3 linked regions of the Arabidopsis thaliana genome follow. The protein of the gene in region 2 interacts with the protein of the main gene of each other region in a pairwise test. Each region holds a gene or a part of one and is shown on either strand. Other genes may lie near its edges.

Region 1 (3,822 bases), on a different chromosome or scaffold from region 2:
CTCATGAAAAAGATAGAACTTGGTAAAAACTTCTGAAGCTCCCTAAGGGTTTTATTTCGTTTTCCTCTGTAACGAGTCAGAAATTTTTGCCCTAGTTATACCAGACGTCACTTAAATAATTCGGTTATATATATTCACAAACTGTTATCCTTTTGAACATATATAAGTATTATCGATGTCTCTGAAGTCTTTGGGAGTTTTAGTAGAACAAATTGTTATCACTTAAATCAGGGGAATTTACTTCCAAATTCTCCAATACCAAAATACAGCTTCTTGTGAGTTGGTTCATACTGATGATGGAGAAATGTAATTTTTAGCCAACAAGGTTTCAACTTTCAACGTTTGAAACTAGATTTGAGCACAAATATAGCAATCAACTTTCCCCCATGGCTGCTTATAGCAATCATCGACGGAAGTCACAGCAGAACGGAGAGTCCTCTCGTTCCCTTTGGACAGAGTTGCATCCTCTACTAGAATTTTACTTAGGTAGAAGTAAGTATCCACAGTAAAGAATCTCCTTCTTGTTACAATTTTCAATTTTGTGTTCTCTTCAAGCTAATTATTAGTTTAGTTAGCTTAGCATGATTCAACTTTAGCCTTGGTATAGAATCATAACATAGAACCATATAAACGAAAATAAGACTAAGATCAAAAGAACAAAAAACTTTGAGTTTTGCAAACAAGGTTTCAAACTTGAATAATGTCTGATAATTGAGCACATACTGATATTGATAGTTCCAAAAACACTAATTTCCGAATCCAAAATCAAAAAAGAAAGACAACAGAATTGTAGATAATATTTGATCAGGCAGTGATCTCCTTCTTGAGTTTTGCAAGCTCTTGCCTGACAACACCAGCTTTCTGCAAACAGCAAAAAAACCCATTAACATTTCAGTTCTGACATGAATGAACACTACCACAGAATTTCAAACATCTAACAATTTAACACACTGACCTTGATCTTGGCCAACATGATCTTGAACCTATCAAAGTCGTTAAGGTTAGCCCTACGTTTCTGCACGATAAGCTTCCTACCCCATGAGCTTTTCTCCCACTTGTTCTTCACATCTGCAAGACTTTTCCAGTTAAGATTGAAACACTTCAAAATTCAAATATTTACATTACGCAGCACTCACCAGCCTTTTCCATTGCCTCGATCAAAGCCTTCTTCTTTGGCACACGGTTGATGTCAATGACAATATCGGTAAGAGACAACCTCTTGAAGTTCATCTGGATCCTCTCCATATCAGGGGCATCCACCAAAGCCTAAATGACGAGAACATAATAAGAACTCCATAAAAACAACTAGACAATATTCAGCTCAATATTCACCAAGGAAATGCAATAGGCTCCAATCAATGATGCAAACTGAGTTATAACTGTAAGCCAATTATGCAACCAAAGTCTCAAGCTAAATCAAAATTTTCCTTAATCAAACAATTTACCGAAACATACACAGTAGCATTACGGAATCAAGCATTAAAACAGCTGAAACTCATCAATACATACATGATAAAGAGATGGAAATCTTCATAACCTAAGAATGAAATAAACTTACTCTGTTCTGGTCAACAACGTCGACGATAACGACGAGCTTTCCATGATCTTCTCCGTAGTTCACAAGTGCTACTCTCCCGATCTCAACGTACCTCTTGAAACCCTAAACAACCAATCACCAGAAAATATTAAATCTAACAACTTTGGACTCTAACCTATACACAAACGTAACTTGATTGAGAACGTCAAAAGCCTAATCCCCAAAAAAAAAGATCTAGAAGAAAGAAATCCGAAATGTGCTATGAACATGAGCTAAATACAGGAGATAATCACGTAGAACACAGACGAACTAACCAAGGTATTAGCTCAATAAGAGAGTATATCTCACCATTTTCGCCGCCGGTAGATTGGAAGGTCTAAGCTCCGAGTGTAAATGTAGACGAGCGACAGCAGAGGAAAAAATCGATTAGGTTTTGCACTATATATAATCTTCATTCTAGGGTTTTGTGGTTTGGGCCTATCTTTACTAAATAAATATCACAAAGGCCCAACATTAAACGCCCAATATGGTAAAGAGAGAAAACGGCGTCGTTTTATGTTGGATATTTTTGGGGGAAAAAAAAAAAAAGACACAGTGTCTCTTTCATGTGGAAGAAGATAAATTAGAGAGAAGTGATGGAGAAACTCCGTTATTTGTGGAGGCAACAACTATTGTGTAATGAGACCAGCTCATCAATCATCATCTCCAGAAAAAAGGAATGATACAAGAAACTTAGTTGATAGATAGACGACAGGAAAATAATATACGCAGAAAGAAACCTAAAAAAAAAAGTTTCTGTCTTTAGACTCCAATCCACTAAGCTCCAAGCTGGGTCCCCTTAAATTCTCAATCTTTTTCTCCCTAAATTTCCTTTAATTTCTTCATTGATCATTGCTCATTGATCGATCTTCTGAGTTTTGAGGGGACCCCGATCCAAAGTGTATCTCTTTCTGTTTTGCTCAGCATTTGGATTTGATTTCTTTTTTTTCCCGGGAAAGTTTGATAGAGATGTGGGGAGGCGCAGGTGAGCCAGCAGATTCTTACTACCAAGTTCGTCCTGAGTGCACCGATGTCCCCAAGACCAGATTCAAAATCAAGGTTACTTCTTTCGATCCCTTCTTCTTCATTTTCTCCGATTTTTGCTTATTCTAGTTTTGCTTCTTCGTTGGGTCGTCTCTGTTTTATGATTACGAATACGATATGTGATTGCTGATTCGGTTCCAATTACATCCAGATTCTCTGGTTATCTATGTTTTCGAAAATGCATTGTCTCTGTTGTGAATTTGTTCCTGACATTGTAATGTTCATAAATCTGATTCCTTATGAGGAGATATTGATCTTAGGAGCTGTTCAGGGTCTCATATATATTCTTGATCCCACTGGATCTTTTTCTCAGTAGCATCACATGAATGATTGTTTTAGTGAGATTGTCACTTTTTCCAGACATAAGCTTGAAAGGATTTTAACTTCTTGACTCCAGGGTCTTTAGGAAGATACATAAGATAGGAAGATAGGTTATGTGCTTGACTGGTACTAATTTGGAACTAGATTGAATAATTTTGAACCTTTACATTACAGGCCATAAAAGCCTATATCATTCCATGTCTTGTGGTCATAATGTATCATGAATAATTGCATCATGTTGAGGCCAGGAAGTTTTTGCTATGTTGCTGACAACACGGGTCATATTTATGATGTTTGTGCAGCCTGGTAAAACTCTAAGTGTAAGAAAATGGCAGGCTGTATTTGTACAAGAAGGGTCTCTCCATATTGGCAAGACTCTAAGACGCATCCGAAGAGGGGTATGTTTGTTTGGATAAGTCTTTGTAAAGACTGATTTATCCTTTCATTTGTTCTGTATCTTTGATAACTTATGTTACTTTAATATTCCTTTACAATCAATCTATAGGGAATCCATCCATCAATTAGAGGCGAAGTATGGGAATTCCTACTTGGTTGTTATGACCCAATGAGCACATTCGAAGAAAGAGAGCAAATTCGACAACGCAGAAGGTAGAATTTTGTCCTCATATCCTATATATATGTATCGCATTTGGCATAATTACATGTTTCTTTCAGTTCATTCATAAACCATCGATTCAGTTTTGTGAATCCTACCGCTAATTCTCTTCTTTCAGATTGCAGTATGCTTCTTGGAAGGAAGAGTGTAAGCAAATGTTTCCTGTCATTGGAAGTGGAAGATTTACTACCGCACCTGTAATTACTGAAAATGGTCAACCCAACTATGATCCTCTTGTACTTCAGGAAATAAATTTAGGTAAAAT
Region 2 (4,935 bases):
AGTTAAGAAAAGAACAGAGCATCTTTATTCACCTGATACGAGAATGCCAACACATCGTTTCACCACATGAAGCAAAGCATCCAGAAGACCAGAAGAGGTTATTATATTGGGCAACTTATCGAAAGAGAGGGCAGCCTGAACAACAGCCAGATCATCATCCCAAAGCTGACGCAGTATAGCATCCTGAATTGTGACAAGGTTCTGGATGGAGAGGGTAAAAAAGATATTGAAGAACAGTAAGATGACATGAAGTCAAAGTAAAGAAACAAAAAATACTTGGAATGAGTACCCCACACATACCTCTGCTTTAGAGCTATCATCCTTGAGAACACCATTTAGACTAGAAAGCGCGGCACAACGTACAGCAGCCTATTATTTATAAGAAGCCCTCAGTCTTGCGCAAAAAGTAAATAAAAAATTTTATTCACATAACTAAGATTAGAGGTTATAGTACCCTGGGATGGTGGAGCCGGAACCACAATTTTGAATCCACAAACGGGTGAGACATGTCTGAATTCCCATCCAGCATACAAGACAACATCTCTAGCTTTAAATCCTCTTTCTTCGACTGAACTTCAGTAGCCTGCAACAAGAAGTCGATGACTCAGAAGACCATATAACAAACACAAAGGAAAATAACTAAATGAGAGTTGGAGCACAGACCTCTAAAAATTTAGGAACTGCGGCACGTAGTTCAGCAGGATACTTCTTGCTTACAACAACCAGAAATTTCTTGGCCCAGCTTCCTACAACTAAATTGCAACAATATTGGTTATATAAAGAGGAATCTGAAAAAGAATCTTCAAAAATGAACACCCAAAACTCAATGACATAAGTAGTTGACATATCACTAACCAGATGTAGAAGATCTAAAATCACTGTTCTTCTGGTATTGTGTCATACATAAAGAGAAAACCTTGGAGATCAAATGATCAACCAAATTGCTTACGGGAACAGTCTCAATTATTGAAGCTAAAACTTCGCAGCATTTATCATCAGACGAACTGCAACAAGATGACAGTAAATCACACATGAATACTAACAAAATAAATCCATCCGCTTGAAAATGACAAAACAGTGTTTGATATACACCTGTAAAAAAGTAAAGAATCCAGTAGCACTGCCAGGAATCTTTTGATGTTGAACTCTTTGGACAAGCCTAAAAGAACACCAGAAATATCTCTGCACAAAATTGAAGCCATCGTTGAAAAAATACTAGTAATAGTTACAATTAAAAAAAGCTTCAGAAGGAAGACTGTTCATATTCAGATACCTTATTTCGTTAAAAAGATCCAATGCTTTCCTTGGGATCAAGTCCACAGATTGCAGCTGTAGTTGATTCAGAAAATTAATTGTTTAAAACAATCAACACCAACCACTTGTGAGCAGAATCCTCAGTGAGGAATAGAAAATATGTCCACCTCATACTTAGAAGTTTATACATTCGTGATATCGAAAATTAAAATGTAAGAAGTTCATGATGACAGAAAGTTATTGCACCTGAACAAAATTGATCAAGGCCATAAGTGACAATCGAAGCGAATGCGGGTCAGAAGATTCCTTGGCATGTTCACGACCAATGTCGATGATGGACCTCATCAAGCGCTTGATAAGATTAGTATTTAGCACAGCTCTGTTTGCCAACATGCCAACAACCATTAACGCTCCAGCCTAGAACCATATAAAGTTTGTCATAAAAGGCACATCAACTGAATAACAAAATCAATTAGAGAAAAATATTTGGTAAGAAAACCACTAAAAAACCTGTTGATCTAAACATCCTTTCACACCAGATTGAAGACCAGAGTCCACAAATGGCAAAATCGTCTTTACAATATCTCCATCAACAGTTGGAACTGAACCGAGCACCCCAACAACAACTGCGGTGGAGAAGCTAACCACAGGTTTTGAAGGCTGATACTTCTTAGTACGAGATGCCTACAATGTAACCAAGATTTCAGATGTTCAGTTTGATGTAGCCATTCAAAAACCAGTTTATAGGGAAAAAAAATATTAACAGCTACTTACATAGTCACACAAGGCCTCCAAAACTTGTTTATCACGTATACATTGCTGAACGATAACCGATCTAGGAGGTGGAGCACCTGAATTTTTAACACCATCCAGAAATTTCCACTTGGAATTTCTGTAAAGCAAATGAGAACCAGGGTTTACTAATCGATATGATAAATTGTGAGACTTCACTTCGAAATCGAAAGTGAAAGATATATACTCACCCAGTAGAAAGCAGTTGAACAATGCGGACAAAGGCATGTGTGTCATGGTATGGCAAGGCGCATAGAACCACATCTTCCAAGTTGTATATATGAATCCTGAAATATAGAGCAATTAGGACAATTCGATGAACGAACAAAGGCAAATATACATAACCAATAGTGATAAGGAAACACATACTTGTATCGTCGTATGAGATACTCAAGGGTCTCCAAGGAAGCACGAAATTGAAGATAACCAGAGAGTAAACGTAGATACGAACTGATTGATGAATCAATCCGAGCATTTTCTTCTTTACCCAGCAATTCCCTATCAATTTCTTTACTTTTATGACTAAACAAGTCGTTCATGTAATTTTTAAACCTCTCATCTTTGTTTCCAAGTACTTCTAGACCTGAATTAACAAAAATAATTAACGATGAGAATTTAATTTATCATTGAGCTTGTTCATTAGAATTGCATAATAGGAGAAGAGAACATACCTTTGAGCCCGAGCTCGTAAATTGATTCGATATCGAAATCAGCTGCTTCTTTAGGACTGAAGAGAATCGAAGGGCGTGTGAAAGGTCTCTTGGAAGGCTCTGTATCGGCTTGTAACACTGACTTGAGAGCCTGTAACTGTGACACTATTGAAGAACTCATACTCGCTATTGGGATAAGATTATTCTTCAGAGGAAATTCGAAGAATAAGTTTGAGGTAGAGAGAGATAGAGAGATAGAGAGCGGCGTTGAGGGAGAAGAAGAGAAAGAAGAAGAAGAAGCGGGTTTAGGGTTTAACGATCCTTTTATTTTTAATCTGGAAGATATAGTAATATAAAGAAACAAGGAAACCCCTGAGTTATAATGGAATTGCGTTTTAAACCATGACCTATTTTTTTGTTTTTCGAATTTAAACCCCAATAGTTTTACAACTTGATAATAAAGCCCATCTCTAATCTGCCGCTACTATTACAAAACTGTGCGTTTTAATTCCTCAATCGAGAAAGTCTTGAAACAAGTGTAAGAAAGTCAAGATACAATCACTGTTCACATCACATTTGCCAAGATTAACAAACCCATCTATCCAAGAATTTCAGTAAAATGGAAGTGAGAACAGAGAACAAAAAAGAAACTTAACACCTGACCTCTTTCATTAGAAGTTAAATATTATATTATACGCAGACAATTAACGACATCATCAACTTCAAACATATGTTCATAAACAAAAAATGTACTATAAACAAGTCATTTTCCTTATCCTCTTCATTAATAGTTGTAACCGTTAGCCAACTTCTTCTCATCCTTATACACGACTCCATTTTCCGTTTCTCCACACTTGGCAAGGCCTAAGGTCATTGTAAGCAAACTCCAAACTCTCATCAGTCGTTTGGAAGTAGACACCATATCTCGTTTTGTTGTTGTTTATCTTATATACTCGACCAGACCACCATCCTTCATTGTACCAAGCATCCACAAGTTCATACAATTCATATCGATACCCCTTTGGAATCAGTGGAGGAGGAGGAGGTCTTATATCTGAACCTCTTGCTTCTTCCTTCAACAACTCTCTTTCATCGTCTGTTTTTAGTGTTTGATACTCCACTGTGTATCTGTTTTCGCCCAAGTAACTTACGATCTTTGCAGAGAACCATGAGGCTTCGTAACCTGGTTCGTCGCTTCTAACTTCCACCTCCATTCCATTGTTAAACACCTTCTCTGCTCTCTCACAAGATTTCAGCTTCTTCAATGGAGGTTTGTAACATTCTTCCGGCACATCAGTCAATACCTTGGAAGGAATGACCCATTGTCCATTGATCCAATCTTTGTGGGGCCTTAAGTTGAAATTTAAGATTGTCGTTTCTTCACCAGTTGAGATGATAAAAACTGAATACTTATTAGAACCTCCTCCTAGGACTTTGGAAACCCTACTGGTCCACCACCGTTTGTTGAACCAAGCATCAACTATAACCCCTGGTTCATAGCACACAACAGGCGAGAGTTCTGAAGGAGGAACTGGTCTTATGTCCTTGGCTTCTACCACATCTCTCAGAGGGATCGACTCACCATCATCTCTACTAAATTTCAAGTGTTCAACAATGTACTTATCATCACCTAATAAACAAAGTATACGAGCACAATACCAAGAACCCTTGTAAGCTTTTTCTTCACTTCTGACTTCGACAAGAGCTCCCTTCTCATATTGATCTCTTCTCTTGATTTTTATCTTCAGTTTAATTCTTTGGGCTGTCGATTCCGAGAAATTGCTCTGTAAATCAAAAAAGCAGTGTGAGTTTATTATGCCAAATTCCAACAAATCTTCAAATTCAAATTGCTTGACATACAGTATATATAGTATAATTAAGTCTTTTTTCTAAATTTACAATTTTTTTTTTTTTTTTTTTTTTTTTTTTTTTTTGGTTTTACTAAATTTACAATTAATTCGTCAAATCTTTCAATGTATCTTAATCCCTAAAACATTAAATTCACTATTTTTCTACAAACCCTAGATTCAATTCAAACGCAGAGAAATGTTTTACCTGTTGGAGAAGAGAAGGAACCCACCCACCATCTAGCCATTCACGATGAAGCCTCAAATTGAACTGATCAACCTCTATTTCTGGACGATTTTCCCCTTTAAACTCCACAATGTACCTTGAATCTTCAAGTACGGTCGTAACATTGCCTCTAACCCAGCAACCTTCGCTATCTCTGAAGACATCG
Region 3 (3,967 bases), on a different chromosome or scaffold from region 2:
AAATATAGGAAATACACACAATATCATTGGACTATTTATTTTGGTTAGTTACCTAATTGTAATATTTTTGTATGTTATAAATGCAAATTTCCATTATAACATCTGTTTCATGTTATAATTGGCAGGGTCACTAAAACTGGCCCACAAACCAGGAAAGCAGAAGCTGGGCCATCTCCATTAAGAATTTTGTTGGTCTCATCAGGCCCAATACACCTTGGGAAATAAACACTAGTCCAAAAACAAGGAGATCAGAATAAGGCCCATATCTATTAGGGATTTTCCTAAGCTCGTCAGTCCCAGTAACAACAAACCTAAACTCTGGCCCAAATCCCATAAAAGAAGAAGTTGGCTCATCTGAATTGGGGTTCTGACCTTGCTTCGACAAAACATGCGTCTGTTAACCGGCGACACAACAACACAACAATATCTATAAATATGTATCGTTTTTCTTCAATTCAGAGAATTTCGTTCTCCTCATAGCAACAGCAACATCACGTAACAATTTGGCCTCTAAAGTAAGCAAATGTCCAAATATTCAGCAGCTAAGATTCTACTTGGTTGTAAGATTTTTGAAGATATGCGAACTAAACGAAGAAGAAAAAACTGCATCTACTAAAGATCGAAGTTCATAGGTGGTTTAAAAAGATGACCAGACCAATCAGACCAAGACTTTAGAAAGAAAAACTAAACTAAAATAATAATATCCGATAGCAAAAAAAATTCACTATTTAGTAGCCCGGAATCAGCAAAATTGATATCATAATTTGCACTAAAAAAAACTCAACTTGTCATAATTTGCACTAAAAAAACAGTTGCAAAAATAAGATTTGGTAATGGATCATAATTAAGAAATCAAGCAGCGATCTCCCTTTTTAGCTTAGCAAGCTCCTGCCTCACAATACCAGCCCTCTGCAAAACAATATTCATATATTAGAGGTTATTCAATAACACTAAGATGCGTCTTAATACAATCCAAAACAAACCAGTATCAAACCAAAGATCATAAACCCAAGAAGATGGTGAATGTAGTAGTAGTAGATACAGTTTAAAGTTTAGATAGTATTATTTCTAAACCACAACCGAAAGTGAGGGCAAATGAAGCAGTGAAAACTCATCTGCATTTGCACAAAGTAGAGTTGACTAAAACAACATTGGTGGATACAAAGAAGTAAACCAACCTTGATTTTGGCCAACATGATCTTGAACCTGTCAAAATCATTGAGGGCAGCTCTTCTCTTCTGCACAATAAGTTTCCTACCCCATGAACTCTTCTCCCACTTGTTCTTCACATCTGCATATAACTTTAGAGCTAAGATGACCCAACCCAACCAACAACAAAAAAAGGCCAATAAAACCTACGAATAATCAAAAGTATGCTACAACAAACTCACCAGCCTTCTCCATTGCCTCAATCAAAACCTTCTTCTTGGGAACTCTGTTGATATCAATGACGATGTCAGTAAGAGACAACCTCTTCAAATTCATCTGGATTCTCTCCATGTCAGGGGCATCCACAAGTGCCTAAAAAGGACAAGATAAACAGAAACACTTTAGACAAAACATAAACCATTTCAAAGACTCCTAGCTTCAGCCAAAACCACAAGTATTAAACTAAGCATACAAATTCTACTCCTAGCATCATAACTATTGTATCAATATATATTTCAGTGAGCAATAAGAAGATAGTTACATTGATTACAATACCAAATCGAAAAAAAAAACAGAGCTTGCATATCAAGTTACCCTGTTTTGGTCGACTACATCGACGATAACCACGAGCTTTCCATAATCCTCGCCGTAGTTAACGAGCGCCACTCTCCCAATCTCCACGAATCTCTTAAAACCCTTCACAATCAAACACAAAGTTCTCGAGGTTAAAAACTATATAAATCTGTAAAGATAACAAATTCCAAAGAGAAGCAGCTAGGGCAATAGCAGAATCTTTAAAGTTTTCAGAAACACTAAAATACATGGAATCAAGCGAAGAACATCGCTCACCATTTTGGCCGGCTAGAAGAAACAGATTGGAGCAATTGTGCGGCGAAGAGATTTTTATGTGCCCAAGAGATTATTAGGGTTTTTGATATAAAAGAATTAGGCACATAAGCATATAGAAGCCCACTAACAATTTTAAAGGCCCATTAAATGTGGAGAGATTACATGACGTCGTTTAAGAATACCGAAACCGATCGGTTTAATGTTTGAAATCGGAGCTAATAAAATCGGCTTGGTTCGGTTAAAAAGGAAAGTACTCTGCTAGAAATAGAAAGATGAAAGATGAAAGATGGAAGAAGAAGACGGGCATGTCTCTGAAGATTCCGGCTGTTTAGGATCTCAATCTGTATGTATTTTTCTTTTGTTCGTATTCTCTCTGTAGACAATTTCAAATTGTTGGGTCTAATCGGTTTCTGGATTATCCAAATGATAATGATGATGGTGTTCTGATACTGATTTTAAGGTTATATATATTATTGAGCAATGGGAGCTTCGTCGTTGCAAAAAGAATATATCTTCCTTGTGTTTTCGTTTACATATTTGTAAAGTTTTCATTTTTTCTCCATTCTGATCCTGGGTTTTATTTCTTGAACAGTGGTCTGATGAATCCATGAATGATTTATGTGGGAGATGGATGAAACTATAAGTTTGGTTTGAACAAGAAGAAGGAAGGTTGAATGTTTTGCTGCGGATTTATGTGGAAATCCGGAGGAGAAGATTTGCAAGGTTTCTATCCAGTTAGACCTGAATGTCAACCAGATGTTCCCAGGACCCGTTTTAAATCAAGGGTACCATTCTTCTTCTCAATCACCTGTTTCATGTCTTGATGAATTGATGATACATTAGGTTCTTGTTTGTTTGTTTGTAGCTGATGAAATGATTCATCTTGATATGTAATTTGTCAGGCTGGAAAGACTCTAAGTGCTAGAAGATGGCACGCTGCCTTTACTGAAGATGGCCATTTGGATATGGAAAAAGTGCTTAGACGTATACAGCGCGGAGTGAGTCTACTTTCTTTTCCTGATCTTGTTTCTATCTATATGCTCTTTTTGTTGTTGTTCACTTGGTTTCTTTGCTAGGGAATTCATCCTTCCATCAAAGGCGCTGTTTGGGAGTTTTTGTTAGGATGCTACGATCCAGACAGCACTTTTGAGGAAAGGAACATACTGAGGAATCGCAGAAGGTACTATAGAATTGGTTGATCATTTACTAGTTTTGTAGATGCACGTCATGGCTAACTTTAAATGTTATTGATCATCTAAGGGAGCAGTACGGTGCATGGAAAGAAGAATGTAAGAAAATGGTTCCTGTCATTGGTAGTGGCAAGTACGTCACAATGGCAGTCGTTCAAGAAAATGGGAACCCAATAGACGAATCTTCTGTAGAAAACCAAGGATGGATCGTGAAAAACACTGTTACAGATGAGAGAGTGCTACAATGGATGCTCTCACTACACCAGATCGGTATGCCTTTACATATAAATAAGTTTAGTTCTATCTGATTATCTTCTTATAACCTCTTTTTACATATTCTTGTATATTTTGTTTCAGGCCTTGATGTTGCTAGAACAGATCGGTATCTCTGTTTTTATGAGAATGATCGTAATCAATCAAAACTATGGGACGTTCTTGCCATATATACGTGGTTGAATCTTGATATTGGTTATGTTCAGGGTAAGTGTACTTGCTGTTAACGATTAATCTTTTGAAACTATATAAGAAACAGAACTGATCCACTTTGTCTATTCATGTAGGAATGAATGATATATGTTCCCCAATGATAATCCTCTTTGATGATGAAGGCGACGCTTTCTGGTGCTTTGAGCGGGCAATGCGGAGACTAGTAATAACTAATAGCCTATGACATAACTTCTCATGTTTCATGTCATTACCAGACCATTGTATTCACGGTTTATTGTTTTCTTTGAATTTCAGAGAGAAAATTTCAGGGCAACAGCAACATCAATGGGTGT

The links. The genes of interacting proteins can lie anywhere in the genome.
Region 1: the proteins of AT3G06530 (region 2) and AT4G27090 interact in a two-hybrid assay, tested with the Arabidopsis thaliana proteins (one large-scale study listed by BioGRID).
Region 3: the proteins of AT3G06530 (region 2) and AT2G20450 interact in a two-hybrid assay, tested with the Arabidopsis thaliana proteins (one large-scale study listed by BioGRID).

The regions. Positions count from the first base shown.
Region 1 is NC_003075.7:13,593,300-13,597,121, forward strand, and holds AT4G27090 (Ribosomal protein L14), read right to left. Parts: upstream 1,954-3,822; 5' UTR 1,889-1,953; coding exon 1,886-1,888; intron 1,661-1,885; coding exon 1,559-1,660; intron 1,267-1,558; coding exon 1,137-1,266; intron 1,069-1,136; coding exon 956-1,068; intron 862-955; coding exon 805-861; 3' UTR 545-804; downstream 1-544. Other genes in the region: PDIL5-4 (PDI-like 5-4), read left to right, coding at 1-36; AT4G27100 (Ypt/Rab-GAP domain of gyp1p superfamily protein), read left to right, coding at 2,546-2,635, 3,244-3,339, 3,447-3,550, 3,676-3,815.
Region 2 is NC_003074.8:2,020,538-2,025,472, reverse strand, and holds the start of AT3G06530 (ARM repeat superfamily protein), read right to left. Parts: upstream 3,014-4,935; 5' UTR 2,878-3,013; coding exon 2,718-2,877; intron 2,630-2,717; coding exon 2,416-2,629; intron 2,334-2,415; coding exon 2,238-2,333; intron 2,147-2,237; coding exon 2,029-2,146; intron 1,939-2,028; coding exon 1,765-1,938; intron 1,672-1,764; coding exon 1,501-1,671; intron 1,330-1,500; coding exon 1,274-1,329; intron 1,183-1,273; coding exon 1,093-1,182; intron 1,005-1,092; coding exon 856-1,004; intron 753-855; coding exon 664-752; intron 584-663; coding exon 455-583; intron 370-454; coding exon 301-369; intron 202-300; coding exon 33-201; intron 1-32. Other genes in the region: AT3G06520 (agenet domain-containing protein), read right to left, coding at 3,518-4,480, 4,752-4,935. UniProt on the Arabidopsis thaliana protein: Involved in nucleolar processing of pre-18S ribosomal RNA. Involved in ribosome biosynthesis.
Region 3 is NC_003071.7:8,811,957-8,815,923, reverse strand, and holds AT2G20450 (Ribosomal protein L14), read right to left. Parts: upstream 2,093-3,967; 5' UTR 2,002-2,092; coding exon 1,999-2,001; intron 1,846-1,998; coding exon 1,744-1,845; intron 1,522-1,743; coding exon 1,392-1,521; intron 1,292-1,391; coding exon 1,179-1,291; intron 910-1,178; coding exon 853-909; 3' UTR 545-852; downstream 1-544. Other genes in the region: AT2G20440 (Ypt/Rab-GAP domain of gyp1p superfamily protein), read left to right, coding at 2,673-2,783, 2,901-2,996, 3,075-3,178, 3,259-3,458, 3,546-3,668, 3,749-3,837, 3,930-3,967.